2 linked regions of the Oreochromis niloticus genome follow. The protein of the gene in region 2 purifies or fractionates together with the protein of the main gene of each other region. This does not show direct contact. Links are inferred from orthologs where the notes say so. Each region holds a gene or a part of one and is shown on either strand. Other genes may lie near its edges.

Region 1 (7,404 bases), on a different chromosome or scaffold from region 2:
TATGAACTCAACGGTAACTTTAAGCACACCTGCACGTTAATGTAAATACCAAATCGGCCAATCACATGGCAGCAAATCAGTGCATTTAGACATGTAAACATCAGAATGAGGAAGAAAGGTGATTTAAGTGACTCTGCTAGTCTGAATATTTCGGAAATTTTCCCACATCACCATCTGTGCGGTTCACAGAGAAAGATATGAAAAAGTGAAAATATCCAGTGAGCGGCAGGTCTCTGGGAGAAAATGTCTTGTTGATGTCAGAGAAGAACGGCCAAGCTGGTTTAAGCTGATAGAAAGGCAACAATAACTCATTACAAGCAAGGTACGCAGAAGAGCATCTCTGAACAGCACATACAGAAAGAACAGCAAGGTTTTGCCCAATAACAACAAAGGAAGATGTTGTCTGGTCTGTTGAGTCTCAATTTCTACTGTGACATTCAGACGGTTGGGACAGAGTTTGGTTTAAAGAGCTACTCTGCCATGCATCACTGGCTACCAACATAGCATAGTCTAAATACCTGCAGCCTAACTGGGGTATTTGACTATGCCCACCCCTTTATGACCCCAGTGTAACCACCACGTCACAAAGCTCAGATCACCTCAAACTGGTTTCTCGAACATGACAATGAACTCATTGTACTCGAATGGCTTCCACAGTAATCAGATCTCATCCAACAGAGCAGCTCTGGGATGCGGTGGAATGTTTCCAGCACCTAATATCATCTTCTCTTTCACTACAGTTTGTTTTTTAGCAAAACCAATAATCTAGTAACTAAACTACAGATTAATATATGTAAATATGAAATGATTTTTAACTGCATCATCAAAACATAAAAGTTGCTCCATTTCCATGAGTTTTGAAACAACAGGTCACAGCAAATAAACCACAAAAGAGTGCAAACAAACAACACAACTTTTACCCATTTCCCTGTGTATTTTTTTTGCGAAGTGAATGACAAAAGCATCGTTTGAGTTTCCCACAGCTGCTGGTTCTGATCAGTATTATTTTTAGCTTTATTGATAACCTTTAAGATGGTTTGGCATTGAAAGACACTTCAAAGATGCTTTATAAATACAACGCCATAAAAATGCGAGGTGTGAAAAAGAACAGAACAGCCTTTTTATACGGTGTAAAAGGCATCAGTGGACGCTGTGCTCAGGTCGCCTCAAGCCTCTGCGTACCTGTGGATTTAAGGAATTCCTGAGCTGAGCCGAGGATGACGTTGCAGTCCCGGTCAGTGCAGAGGAAAAGGCCCACCAGAGTCCGTCCGTCTGTCATGCGGATCCTCATGTTCTTGTTCAGGAGCCCCTCCAGCTTCTGCCGTGCCTGAGATGATGAGGACACTTCAGACTGCTCCTGGGGGAGGACAATAAGGGAAAGTGAGCAAAATAAGACCTAATTGGCACATTATTAATCCATTATTATTTTATTTGGAAAATCCTGAAAGAAGCCCTGTTTAGACACATGTAATGACCGCTGTGAAATTTCAGCTTCATATAGCAAACACTTCTTAGTATACATTTTCTTCAAAATTGTCCACTGACCCACTTTCATAATGTTTTTTCCCCCCAAATTTTGAAATCTGACAGTGTTTGAATGTGAATATCTCAAAAACTATTAAGAAAAAAGTGTGAAATTTGCACTGGTGTTTACCATAAATGTGAATCAGGATCTTTAATTTGGGACACACAGACCAAAAAAAAATCTTTAAGTATTAGCTAGATAAAATATGAGAAAATAAATTCCATGCAGTCCTGTTAAATCTCATATCTCTTAATACATTCTCATCTTAACCTGAAGTCTCAAACTCATCCAAAGCAATGTGCATACTTACAAAGTAGGTATCAAAAGTACACATATATGTAACAGACTTGTTTGTGAGTGATAATTAGAGTACCATCTGAAGACTCCAGGACTTTGTTCTATTTCGACAGGACAATCGACTGATATTTTTTTTCCTGGTGCAACTTGTCATGTTTGCTAAACACAGAATAAAAGTTGAATTAAAATGACATTTTCTTAATTTCTGTGACCAAGAATTTCATGTTTAAAAGCTTTTTACGTGTTTTATGTTACAGTACTGTGAAATGAATCAATATACCATTTAGAAACTGTCACTACAGCATTTCTGCAATGTGATTTTTTTTTACTGTCCCAAATTACAGTTCCTGATTCAAGAAAGGCCTGTGGAAATGTAAGAATAAGAATAAGAATAAGAACAACTTTATTTATCCCGAGGGAAATTCTTTTGTCATGTACATGCTCAAAGCAGCAGGAGAGACAGAGGAACAGATGAAATAGATATAAGATATACAATATATACAATAAGAACACTGTACAGTAATGTACACTATTCTTATAAATGTAAGGCTTTTACCTTTAATAGTTTTGAGATATAAAAAGGCCTGAAAGTAGGTGGATGGGGTTTAAAACATATATATTGAAAACATTTTATATATGAAGCTAACATTTTAAAACAATCATTATATATATCCAAACTCTGGACTATAAAATGTTTAGGTAAATCAGAGACGGTCGAGAAAAAAATAATGATTTGAGACAGAATGACCAAACTGTGCCTTTTGGTGAGGAGAACTCAACACATAGTGAATCTGTAGTCTGTCGTTCATATATATATATATATATATATATATATATATATATAAATAAAAACAGTTAAATAAACGCAGGTTACCAGGTCAGATGTACAAGCTAATTTGTTAGCCACCGACTAACGAATTGGCTACAACTGAAGCAATGACAATGTTCAAATACTTTTCCGTTGAACTATTTTTTAATCTCAGTTTTGACATGTTAAACAGCACCAACAACCCTGAGACAAACTGAAAAATTAAAACGAGAAACACATACGTGAGTCGAAGGACCATTTTCCTCAATCATTGTGGCCATAACCTGCCCCTCTTCTTCTCCTCCGGCATTTGCTTACGGAGCAATTTCACCGACGGACCAGCGAAACCGGAAACGATCCAATTTTTTTTTTCATCTTAAAGGGGAGGTCCGTTAGGATGCTGCTAGAATTAAAAAAAAGAAAAAAAAAAAAGAAAAAATGTTACATTATTTAAATGATAAATATTAATAATAATAAGTTAACGTTTAAGTCTGCAAATTTATTAATTTTAAGAGGAACTAACACCTGGCACTGATCAAAGACTTCATTAGCCTCGTTTTAGCACTGTTTGCTAAAGCCTTCTAAAAACTCATATACCCATACTTTGCAAAAACGAAAACTATCTACGTGTTTTCCTCTCGGGTAAGTCTGGAGAATTTGGAGTGTGGTATTTTAAAGCTCGCCTGTATGTCCCCACTGTCGCCACGGGTGGCCGCTACAGGATCATTTTCCCTTCATTTCCTGACACATCGCTTTAAAAACACTGATAAAATCACTGAGATTTCTATCTGATTTGTACGCGTTGCTTAATCCACGAGCTTCACTGAAAAGATGACTTGTATAACTTACCAAGTGTTACTTAAAAATCCTTTCTAAAGTACCACATTTAAAAACCTGGGGGGAAACTGCTAAAGTCATTACAGTGGTTATGATTGTCGCAAAAATATCATTTTCACTGCACTATTATGGCAACACAATAACAATAAAGTCGCAATATCTGCAGAACAAATAAAAGCAGTCAAGTTATTTTGACTCAAAATACAAGTAAAGAGAGAGGCTGTCAGCATAACTACAAATGAAATGAACAGTTACGGTGTGAACACACCGTTACACACACTGTAGAGTGAAAAGGGCAACCGGATGAAACAATAAGCAAAAGATCCACCGTGCCAAACATCTGCTAACAGAACCATGAAACCCAATTACTTACAGGAAAAAGAGGATAGAGAAGCTGCGTGAGAGAAGAAGAAACACTATGATAGGAAACCTCTTTTTCTCAAGTGCCAAAAATCTAAATCTAAATGTGTTTTGGAAAAATAGACCGCATAGATTAAGTGTTACACACTGGATAAGACGGTTGATGTCGAACTGGAATGTTGGCATGTGAATATAAATATCTGGTTTGCACTTTTCTCTCAAAGTAGAGTTTGGAGGAGGGGCTAATAGTTTCTTTTCTATTCAGTTCCTATGTTTTCCTGCGTTTTTTTATTATTGCTGTGAAATATTTTAAAAGACTTTAAAAAGAATGTAGACTCAAGATTTATGTGAGTGATTCCCGAGAAAGGAAAGATCAAGTTAAGACACGATATGATAAGATCAGACAAACACTGTTCAGCAAACAACCCGGAACAGATGTAACTACTGATGTTAAAAAAAAAAGCATGATTTTGTAGAAGATACGCTCTTGTGCAGCAGCATTTCATCATATTCACTGTATATCGACGCATCTCTATGTGAATGACTACAGAGTGAAAATAGAGCCTCAGCTAGGTGGTGTGCATAGTTTTTTAAATCTGAACTCATAATCCACAGATCTTCCTGGGTGGTTTTGTAGTGGCAGTGAGTGCTGGCCTTGCTGCTGACTGTGCTGATGGTATCTTGAATCCTTAGAAGAGGGATGACTGGCATCACAGTCCTAACTAAAGGTGAGTAGCATATTCTGATTTGTATCCTCTTTATCCTTCAAAACTCCACGAATAGCATGCAAAAGAAGGCTATTTTGTGTTTTTGACCCATCTGCGGCGAAGTGTAGGAGCACCCACATTAAAAAGCTTTTAATATGTGAGGTTAAAGTCATTATCAGTGGTATCCCTAACCCTAGTGCTGTGTTTTGGAGAGAAGCATATCTATCCACCCACCCATCCATCTAGCTTCTTCTGCTTATCAGATTCAGCGTCGTAATTGGAGCCTGTCTCAGCTTCTTGAGAGAACTTTCTTTTTAAACTTAAAATTACACATTTTAATAGTTTAGGTTAAAATGATGATCACAGATGATGACCTAAACCTTTCTTTTACTGTCCGAAGAAGCCTTAACCCTAAACCTAGATGTGTCATGCTTTATCTGGTGGACGTTAAGAGACTTAAACTTTGCTGATTATGTCCTAAACAGTCTTGATATAGTTGGATAGCTCAGGAGTCTTTCATCACCCTCTTCCTCTCCCTCTTATGTCTCTGATTAAACTTTCCCAGAAATCATCATCTGTAAATGTAGAAGTCTACAACTGGAGCCCATTAACTGGCACAATTAAACCCAAAAAAGCACTGTGTCCCACCTTTACTTTTTAACACTTTATTACAACTGTTTCACTGCTCAGGGAATACGCTGAGCCAAAACTCAACTGATCAGCACTTCTTCTGCTGCTAATTCAATCCCACACCAGCGTCTGCTGGATTGGCCCCTGCTGCACGCCTGTTATTTAAGCATTATCTGCTCCCCGGGTCGCCTCAGTTCAGACAGCTCAGCTCTGAATGGAGCTCAGGAGCCGGTGTCTTCCTCTGTGTGTCACACTGCATAAAATCTGGGTTAGCTGGAGCGCAGCACCCAGGGGAGGCTTTTCTCTCTCATCCTCGACATGTCTCCCTGCCAAACGGACACGGGGAGTGTTGGTAGTGGCGGGCGGGCGGGCGGGGAGGGGGAAGGCGGGTAGTCACAGCAGAGTAGTGCAGTATGTCAGGGCCTACGGCACATGAGAGCCCTGGCTGGTTTCATCCTTTTTTTTTTCTTTTGCAAAAGCATAGTGAGAAACATGCACGGTTATGAGTACAGATACCTCATTCACACACTCGCACACATAGATAGTGTGGGTTAGGGTACGTAAGCTACACACATACACACACTCACACACACACACACACACACACAAAGCTTCCACATCACCAGCCTCTCAATCTGGCAACCACAGACACCTCAGTGGCCAGAGGCTTAGTGGGTGGGTGGATGGGGGGACTCCAGTCACACACACACTCTGATACACTTCTCGTGAACAGACACACACAGACATGTCTCCTCTGCCCATGTTGTCTTGCGTTGCACCGTCTCTCTCTTGGCAGATGTGGCCTTTGGATCAGACACTAACAAAATTCCTCTCATTTGTGGGCGCGGGGCGAGCCGAGCCGGAGCAGCTCGAGCACCTGTTGCAGCAGCAGCAGCAGAGAGGAGGAGGAGGAGCGTGCTCAGCAGGCGAGGCGTAACTGAAATGCTTGTTTACATGATACCCGGTTATTGGTGTGGGAGCCACAGCTGACAGACTGACACATAGCGTAGAGACGGAGCGCGGAACTTGGAGACATGGAGGCTTTACGAGATGTCACAGCGGCCGGGCTGCCTGAGCTGTCGGCCGCGTGGTCGGGATGGCTTTCAGCTTCTGACACTTTTATTTAGCGCATATTTCCACATTTTTCCCCTCCTGCGTTCACTTATAGATCTGTTGGGACAACAGGAGGGTTAGAGAAGGTTGTGTCATGGTGGGGTTCAGGGAGATTTAGGCGTGCTTGCACTGCAACATTTAAGTTATCGTCATATAAAACTTCCTTAGGTTACGATGTGAGCAGGACTTTGTTCAACAGTGGATAACACAGCTCTGCATGTAAAAATAGAGTAGTAATACCTGTGTGTACCTACTATTTTAATTACTGTATATAATTTTATAGACATATAACTTTCTTTAATTTTAGCTGAAGTGGATTTTAAACTTTTAAAAACATACTTTTCTTCCTTTTTTAAGAGATAGCAAGGTGCTATTTGAATATCTCTGTGGGTGTCATGTGTGTACATGTGGCTTGTAGTGTAAACCACAATGTGTGGTCAGTAAGACTAGAAAGCTGGTTCACTGAGGTGACAGTGAGCCTGGATTCACACTGCTTGCATTTTTTAAATTGCATGTGCTCGGCATGCAAACTGAATGGAATGTAAAAGACCTTTTGACTTTGGTGTGGTCTGACCCCCGAGGCCTCCTCAGGGAGCTCAAGCTTCAGGTGCTACTGGGTGGGTGGCACTTTAACTGTGGGGTGGTTGAGCAGGTGACTGTACGCCAAAGGCTGCTGCAGGTGCACAGTCTGAGTCTGCCCCCAGGCCATTTCCTCCACTCTTACCCTGCCTTCTCTTTATACTATACTTTCAAAATAAAGGCTGAAAATACAAAAAATAAATGTTACTACATATATTAAACCCTTTCACAGTGTGTCTTTGGTCCTGTCTTTCTCCCCTCACCCTCACGTGGTCACAGCAGATGGCTGCCCCTCCCTGAGTCTGGTTATGCCAGAGGTTTCTTCCTGTTAAAAGGTATTTTTTCCTTCCCACTCTCACCAAGTGCTTACTCATAGGGGGTAGTGTGATTGTTGAGGTTTTCTCTGTATTATTGTAGGCCCTTTACCTCATATAAAGGTAAAGACCCTTTACCTTTATATAAGTCTACTGTTGTTGTGATTTAGCACTTTATAAATAAAATTTCACACTCTTCCCTCTAACTCTGACAAATGTTCAGACACTTTAGGC
Region 2 (8,192 bases):
CTTAGAAACCTTCAACTGCAACTGTGACAAATAAATACTCAAACTCTAAACCTACCTTACTTGTGTGTCATATCTTGGTAGCTAACAAGCTGTAAGTGCAATATTTAAGTTGCTATTGCAAGTCACTGCTTTTATAAGAGAAGATATTTGGATAGAAAGCACGAGCACAGGACACTGAAGACCCACCCACACATTTGCTTGCAGTTACTTGTTCTTTTTCTTTTTTAAAATAAGTAAAAACATATCCTATAAAAACATGTACCGTTTGTGTGTACACATTCAAAGCACTGGATATTGCTGGGTTGTATCAGAGTGTCAGCTCTTTGGTCTCAACCAGCAAAGAGACTGAAGAAATCGTAACGCTGTATCACATGTTTCATCTTCTAGAAGAATTCAAAGTCTGCAAAGGAAGCAGCATGAATGTTTGGCTTTTCAGGGAGAGGCAGAGCATATGAAATAGTTTATGGTAGAAGATCAAGGTTACCAGCTAGTTTAGATAAGTGAAGGACAGCCCAGGAAAACTGGACCTTGAAATAAAAACGGCTTTAAACAGCTATAAATGTTCTCTCTTTCAGTTTGTGTTCCTTTCAGAAATCTACAACAAAGAAGGGAATGCCAACAGTGTAACATGTGTTTATACTATTGATTTTATGTAGGATGCATATTTTCACAGTACGACTGAATACGCTGGCACTCTGGCTTGAATAACGGCTCTTATGTAATGTGTGCAAATGTGTTAAAGTTTGGTTCATAAACAATGCCACTGGGTCTAGCTCGCTTACCTCGTCGCAGTCGCCCTCCACCATGGCATAGATGGCCTTTTTCACCAGATTAGTACCTGAAACAAAAGAGTGGACTCTAAGTAAGAGGCTAAACCCATTTATGGCCTCCATCTCCAATATATTAAAGTATAACATTACTCATCACTCTGAGTGCAGAGTCTATCTAAATGGTGCATTTGCATAAAGAGATTTGGTTGCCCGGGACAGCAGAGAAGACGGTGAAGGGAGAGACTGAATATTCTGAAGAGGAGCGCCGAGATCTCACCTATGCTTTTCCTTCTGTGTTTCGAATCCACGGCCAGCATGGCAATGTAACCTCGACGAAACATCTTCTTATGCATGTCAAGCTTACATACAATGGCTCCGACACACTCCTGCTCCACCATGGCCTGAAATGCACACACACAACAAAAAATACACGCTCAGTGGTTACGAGTGTCCACTGGGGTGGCCGCTGACAGCCTAGCAACCGTTCCTCTGAAGTTCCTGTCATCCTGCCAGTTCAGCTGGCTCCACAAGCTGACCTCTGACCTTTTTATCTTTTTTTTTTTTTTTAAATAGCACTTCCTCTTCTGTCACATGTGGTGATCCAGCCAAAACTGGAAATGGGATGTTTTGGACCTTGATGGCCACAGAATGAAAAGAAGGCAGGCCAGTGTTTTCAAAGCAGAAAATGCTACCATGACACAGCACATGCAGAAGGAAACCTAAGGCACATTACTCTCTGCTAATACTGACGATTAGATTTTATAATTGCTTTACGTTACAAATCTGTACATATATGAGTGGGCTGGCACATTTCTTGATTCATTAATAACCTAAAAAACTGAATCAATGTTGGATCTGTAACAGTAGATGACAGGTTGTTTACTGCCTGCCAGCAGTAAAATAGAAACTAAACTTATGAGCTGAAATGTTATTGACATGTGTGTGCTTTAGCTTCAGTACACGTCAGCTCTGACAGCCTTGGACGTACAGTGACATGTGGTGAAAAATAAAGCTGTCACACCCAACTCCTATAATACTCCTGCAACTCAGAGTAACCAGTCCGAAGTCAGACTTCATAACTGTGAGCGGTGCGTTCAATCTACTACTTACCAGAAAGCAGAGCTGCGGCCAGTTGTGGATGAAGTACCTGTAAGTGTAAATTGAATAAGGCTCAGATAAGTCCTTGGTGATCAGTCTCATGATCCACGGCATCTGAAGTTCGGACTCATAGCGGACATAGCGGATGCCGTGGTTCTCCCCGGGGGAGCCGCTCAAGTCGAGCCGGGCGAGCTCCTCGGCCGGCGGCTGCTGCAGGTCAGCCTGGCTCTCCTCACCGCCGGGCCCAGCAGCGTCCGGCTGCTCGTCACTCGAAGGTCTAGAGGGCGGCGTGTGGTCCAACTCTTTCCCCGCTTCGCAGGCCGCCTCAGCTGTAGTGAAACCCGGCATCCCGTTCACGCTATTGTTACCATGAGGAGAGTGACTGCCGTTTTTGGAACAGGGGCTGTGGCCTTCGTGTTGGCAGTGCTCACTATTGTTCCTAGCGGCAGGAGCCTCCTCGTTGCTGCCAATACTGTTGTCACAGTTGTCTACGGACGATCTGGGATTGTCAGGCCGGCTTCCTACGTGCTGGTGGCTGTCAGGGTCCTCTGAGGGGCTTGCCAAGCCGTTCAACTGCTGCTGCTCTCGGGCTTGCATTTTAAGGTGAAGCGCCGACGGGCTAGCTCGCGCTAGCATGTTTTTCTGCTTCTTCTTGACCGACCTTTTGACTTCGTTTACCGACTGAGACTTCGTCCCTGTACCGGCGGGCACACACTGCTCCCCGTGGCACGCCGGCTCTCCGTCTTCCACCGCCGGCTCCGCGCTCCCAGCCACGGGGAAAGGAGGAATTTCAGCCGGGGATGCAGGCAGTACGCTACTAGGCCCAGGCGGCACTGTGGCCATCCCACTGCATTAAGGTGGTGATTGACACTTGGAAAACGTTGAACACAATTTCATCCACAAGGCGAAGGCATATACAACCAATATACGAGCTAGTTCATCGAATATTGCTTAAATCCAGGGTTTTCTGGGGCGATAACGTTTCCGCTGGCGATGGTTGTCGCTGCTTTCTCCTCGATTTCCCTGCTGCCGCAAAGTGCCGTCGCAGCAAACGCCATTGCAACGGCATTCATACACGTTTTACGACAGTAGTGTAACGCATGAGTGTTGCACGGTTTTTCCCACTTCTGTTACCCCCTGCCCCCCGAGGCTGTTTTTTGGTCATCCTTGCACCTTGCGAAACTTTTTATATTGTTTGTCAAATTTATCTAACCAGTCAATACTGACATTTACCTCCTTCTGTTCGCCTTTATGTTCTGTATAGTTTAAATAATATATATGTTTGTGTCGTACCCTGCATTACCACACTGTACTCACAACATTCTGGTAATGCAACACTGGAGAAGTCAAAGGTGACTGAAGAAGTCCTTGTACTGCCCTGTTAAACCCAAGAACATATTCTTCCTTACCAGCAGAGGGCGCCAAACCGAAGCTTTAGCATATGGAATAGTTTTGTAAGAGCAACAACAACACTGCGTTTTCTCCACAAGATGCCGCCATTCGACCAGTTTGTCGCTTCATCCTGCAAAGTAGGTGCAAGTTGGTGCGTGTATGTCCAGTAGTATCCAATCATGGTCTACTCTCCTTTCCAGAAGCATACTGTAGGCTGCTGTTAATTCATCATTCCCAGGATGCTGCGAAGCAAGAAAACCACAACACTGCAGTTGTTCATATTACACATAACATGATAATAATACATAATAATAATTACATTTGTTTTTTGTTTATATTTACATTTAACCATTTCCTTTAGTCTGCTAAGAACCACATTCATATTCGTCTTTCACTTTTGTTACATTTATTTCCTTTTAAGGTTTCATTTTTCCCTAACCTTTATTAGACACAAAAGTACAGAGAGCCGGCAGAGAAGCATGGAGAGCGTGGAGGGAATGACATGCATGAAATGGTCTGGGGCAAGCCTCAGTAGCAGCCTTTGGCATACGGGTCACCTGCTCAACTACAAAACCTATATAGATTTGTCTTTGTAATCAAAATAGTCTAGGCTCACACTAGAGGAATAATCTCCAGATAAAATTTGCCAGGTGCACAAGTCTAAGTCATGAGTTTGTAGTATTGGAACAGAGTTTGTGATATCGTGTGCCAAGAAATCCCCCCAGAAAAAACAACCAAAAACCAAAATTTTACAGGAGGCAGCAGCCTGCCTGTGGAGAGCGAGAGGAGAGAGATTGTGTGCCAGCATAGGAAGGAGAAGACAACAACGCAGAAGACTTCACAGGGGTCCTTCCCCTGTTACACTGTGAGGGTGAACACAAAGTGTGAGGTCACTGAAACTCAAATGTAGCGACAGGAAGTCAAGTGATTCTGAAAAATGTTGTTACTGTAGTATTCTGTTGCACACAATAGGCCATGTTTTATTACCGCAGTACCTGTTTCTGAGTATTGATGCTCCCCATACCCTGTTAACTGTGTTGCACATCTTTGTGTGACCACATGCTTTTCCCCTCACAAAACATACAAATTTAGGTGATCTTGAAATCAGCAAGACATTACAGAGTATTAACTTTGATATATTTAAAACAGAAGTACAGTGCTCTAAAAAAGTCCTAACTCATAGGACAAGAACTTCAGGAAATGAGAAGCTGAATTATGCATTTCTATTCTCCACACACATTCTGACCAAATATTTATATCTTTTGACTCCCCTTGTTTGTAATGTCGTTTTTGGTGGTGATGACTTATTTATTTGAATCAAAGGTTTTGGGTGAGTTCACTCTAAGAGCTGTAAAAACTGTACTGCTTAGCTCTTGTATCATAGCTCTTAGCTCTTCAGCATCATATTTGTCTTGCCTGCCAGCACCAAAGTTTGCTTTCTTCTCCTTAAAGTCCTGCTTTTTCTGTAATAGACGGTCAACATTTTGGATGTTTCTTCTTGCTCTACGTCTCTTCCTTACCTCAGGGTAGACCTCGACAGATATTCCAGCTTTTTCTCAGTTTTTTCTGGCAGATTTCTTGCAACATTTATGCTCCTCTTAAGTGGGGGGAATTTTTCAAATGAACTCAAATCTGCAGCAAAAACACTGTGACCTGCTGTACCTTTCCAAAAATCCTTTAATTCACGCATCAAAATTCAGCTTCTGTGTTGATGACTAAATAGTTTCCACAAGAGACATATAGGTGTCTTTCCTCTGCATCCTTACTCCTGTCCCTCTCAACTTCCATAAATATGTTTTCCAAAATTAAAATGATTGGCTCGCACCTGTGGCCACAGCACACAATTTAAACTATACTGCACATGAAAGTTCTTTATTTTGTTCACAAAGACGTGCCCCACTAATATTTGCTCAAACTGTGGACAGTTTTACCAAAACGAGGCAAGGATTTGAAAACCGCCATTCAAACTGGCAGTATCGCTCTGTAGCGCCCTCCAGCTGTAGCTCCAGGTACTCTGAAGTGGATCGCTTTCTCACAAAGACACAGTTGAGTCCAGTCGGTCTACCACAACCAGACCGTGACACAAAAGGTCTAAGTGGGAGCGCCAGATGCTAGAGAGCCTGACTTTGCTCTTTCATGCTAACACAGATTGATCTTTCAGTCGTTGTCTGTCCTACACAGCTACCATGAACATACGTGAGTTTTGAAAGGGAGTCATATTTTATGTATAAATATACATTACAGAGAAAGAGGCCGAGATAGGAGGGAGAGAGAGAGAGACGTCTCTTTTAAAGCTAAGCCTTGGGGCTGAGAACTCTCTGAAGAGCTGGAATCAGACATGCACAATCAGTTCCCCTCTTCAAATCTCCTTTGCAGGCCTATCTACTTGAACAGGCTTCTCTTAATTACTTTCTCTATCACTTAGGCGAGCCGTGGCTGGGACGAGGAGCAGCAGCGTCTCTGCCAGAGACATTTGGCTGGTTTGAACCCATATTTTTATAGGCCTATCTTTTTTCTCACAAGCCTGTCCCACACCTTCTCCCCGCACCACCACCACAACCGCCACCGCCACCGCCACCTTTCTTCCCTCCTTGCCTTGCTTTCATTGCACGTTGCTCTTGTCTTTCCGTGGCTCTCCCCTATTCCAAATATCTCCAGGGTGTCAGTTGCGTCATGTGACTGGTGCGCTTGTGATTACAGCAGTTGGCAGACGTGCTAATCTATGAGGAAGAACCCAAAATATCTGGAGAAAAAAAATGACAGCATGTAAAAGAAGCATAAGGTCAGTATGGAGATCAGCGGAGAGCGAGAACACGGTAAAGACAACTCAGGGTTGACACTGAAACCCGAATTCCCTCCTCTTTCAAATCTCTCCGCCTGTCTTCCTGTCTGTCTGAACCGCTCTCAGGGGCTTGAGGCCAAACTTTGGACCCCCTCCTCCTCCCTTCCTCTCTCATGCTCCTGCCTGTCACATTGGCTTGCTCTCCTCACTCCGCTCACTTCCCTGTGTCCTCCTTCTTCTTCTTCTTCTATTTTTTTTCTTCTCTTTTTGTCTGGCGTCTGGTCCACTAGAGCTGTATTTAATTAGTTTCTGTTGGGTTAATTAGGGGCTAAAGTTAGGGGGTCGGACCAGAACAAAAGCGGGTCAGGCTGGACGGATGCAGGTGCTCAGGAGTGGTTGCCAGATTCCACCGTTCAGATTAAGATGGCCTTGAATTGTCTGGAGTATTGGAGAGCAGGCGAGCCACTAGTAAATCGCAAGGAGGGGAGGTTTTCCACCTCACACGGGATGGCAGGCTCCATATGTACCCACGGCAGCATCACCATTCTTGTTTATTTGAATTTCAGCATCATTTCTACGCGTGTGCCACACCTGGATTCATCGCAGAGTTGGTCCAATGTATGGCGCGTGCAAGTGATGTCCTCGCCAGTCTGTTGTATGTTCTCATTCATATCACTGCCCGCCACCCTGTGCCCCCACCCCCACCCCTTTTTTTCCCAGCAGTGCCAGCTATACCCTGCTCCTTTGGCTTGCGTGGAATTAGAAGAAAAATATGTGAGGAGGACATCAAATGACCAAACCAAGCAAGTGAAGCATACATAAAATGGGCAGCGGCAGCCTTTGAAGTGTACATCAGTAGCCCGAGTGAAGTGATCACATAAATTAAACGCATAAAGACAGCAGTGTAGATGTGAGTATAGACCGCTGCGCTTTGATCTCACCTGTTTACTAACTGTTCTTTTTGGCACATTGTTTGAAACTCACACATGCTGCATGCAACTCACACATTGCAAAAGTAAAAGAAAGACACCATTCGACCTTTTTGAAAGGGAAGGAGAGGAAGAGGGAGAGGAGAGAGGAGAAACGAGAGGAGAGGGATCTCTGGCATGGCTGGAGCCCCTCAGTGTGTGAGGGTCCTGGGGCCCTTTAGACAGGCGCCAGCCCAGCAGGGAACCAGAGACAATCACGCAGCACCAGATTCAATGCACAGAGATTGAGGGATGGGAGAGAGATGAGGAGTCACAGAGGGGTGGATTGAAGGGGGAGCGGGACAAAGAGGACAGCTGAGAAAGGTGGAGGACACGACAAGGAGACGAGTGGGAAGGGTCCAGGTAGAAATCGAAGGAGCGCAGAGCGAATGAGCTAAAAAGAGTTGGATGGAGAGGGGGAGAATGACAGCGCAGATCAAGAGGAGAAGTAAAAGGAAGAAAGAGCAAGCCTGAGAGAGATAGCATATATTCCCTCTGTAACAGTCTTTATCACCAGCCCAGATCGTGGCGTATGAACAGTGATCCAAGTCAACCATCTGCTGAGGCTAGATAAGCCTGGGAGAGCTGGGTATTGAGCTGTCACTCAGGGAGGAGTGCAGAAAAGGAAAGAAAGGAGGGGAGAGAGAGAAACAGAAGAGAAATAAAGACGGGACAGGAGAGAGATGGAGAAGAAGGAGGGAGGGAGGGAAGGAGGGAGGGAGGTGTCTGCGCAAGGTAGGAAAAATGAAAGGAGAAGATTTGTGCGGAGTGGAGAGCACCCGTCTTGTTAGAGAAAGACTTAACGTCAACTAGATGTCCGGCCCTGTCCCGTCTGATCTCGAATAATCCTTCGGTTAACAAGAGGAACAATAAAAATGTTTTCTTTCTCGTCAGCCTACACGTCCCACACGCACACGTATATCACACTGTGAGACGCATCGACTCACATCACTCCTCATCACGCTAATGTTGACAGGATGTTTGTTTGTTTTCTGTCACTGGCAGCATGTGCATATTCACATTTGTCACGTTGTAAAGTTCTAATCACGAAACAGGGCTTCTTGCCATTTCAAACAAATCTGCAATTTGCCTATATTAATGTTCAAAAATGTGTGGGGGGAGCTGTGTCCCCGTGAAGATCACCTCCATTGGTCGGGAAGATCCCAACACTGGTTTAGGGCT

The links.
Region 1: the proteins of naa30 (region 2) and naa38 purify together in Homo sapiens (co-immunoprecipitation; 3 studies listed by BioGRID and IntAct, with this or other methods). This does not show direct contact. The link is inferred for Oreochromis niloticus from reciprocal best matches to the Homo sapiens genes NAA30 and NAA38.

The regions. Positions count from the first base shown.
Region 1 is NC_031967.2:19,663,677-19,671,080, reverse strand, and holds the start of naa38 (N-alpha-acetyltransferase 38, NatC auxiliary subunit), read right to left. Parts: upstream 3,023-7,404; 5' UTR 2,912-3,022; coding exon 2,873-2,911; intron 1,358-2,872; coding exon 1,183-1,357; intron 1-1,182.
Region 2 is NC_031980.2:4,761,555-4,769,746, forward strand, and holds the start of naa30 (N-alpha-acetyltransferase 30), read right to left. Parts: upstream 3,117-8,192; 5' UTR 2,712-3,116; coding exon 1,881-2,711; intron 1,172-1,880; coding exon 1,048-1,171; intron 839-1,047; coding exon 783-838; intron 401-782; exon of another isoform or gene 263-400; intron 1-262. UniProt on the Homo sapiens protein: Catalytic subunit of the N-terminal acetyltransferase C (NatC) complex. Catalyzes acetylation of the N-terminal methionine residues of peptides beginning with Met-Leu-Ala and Met-Leu-Gly.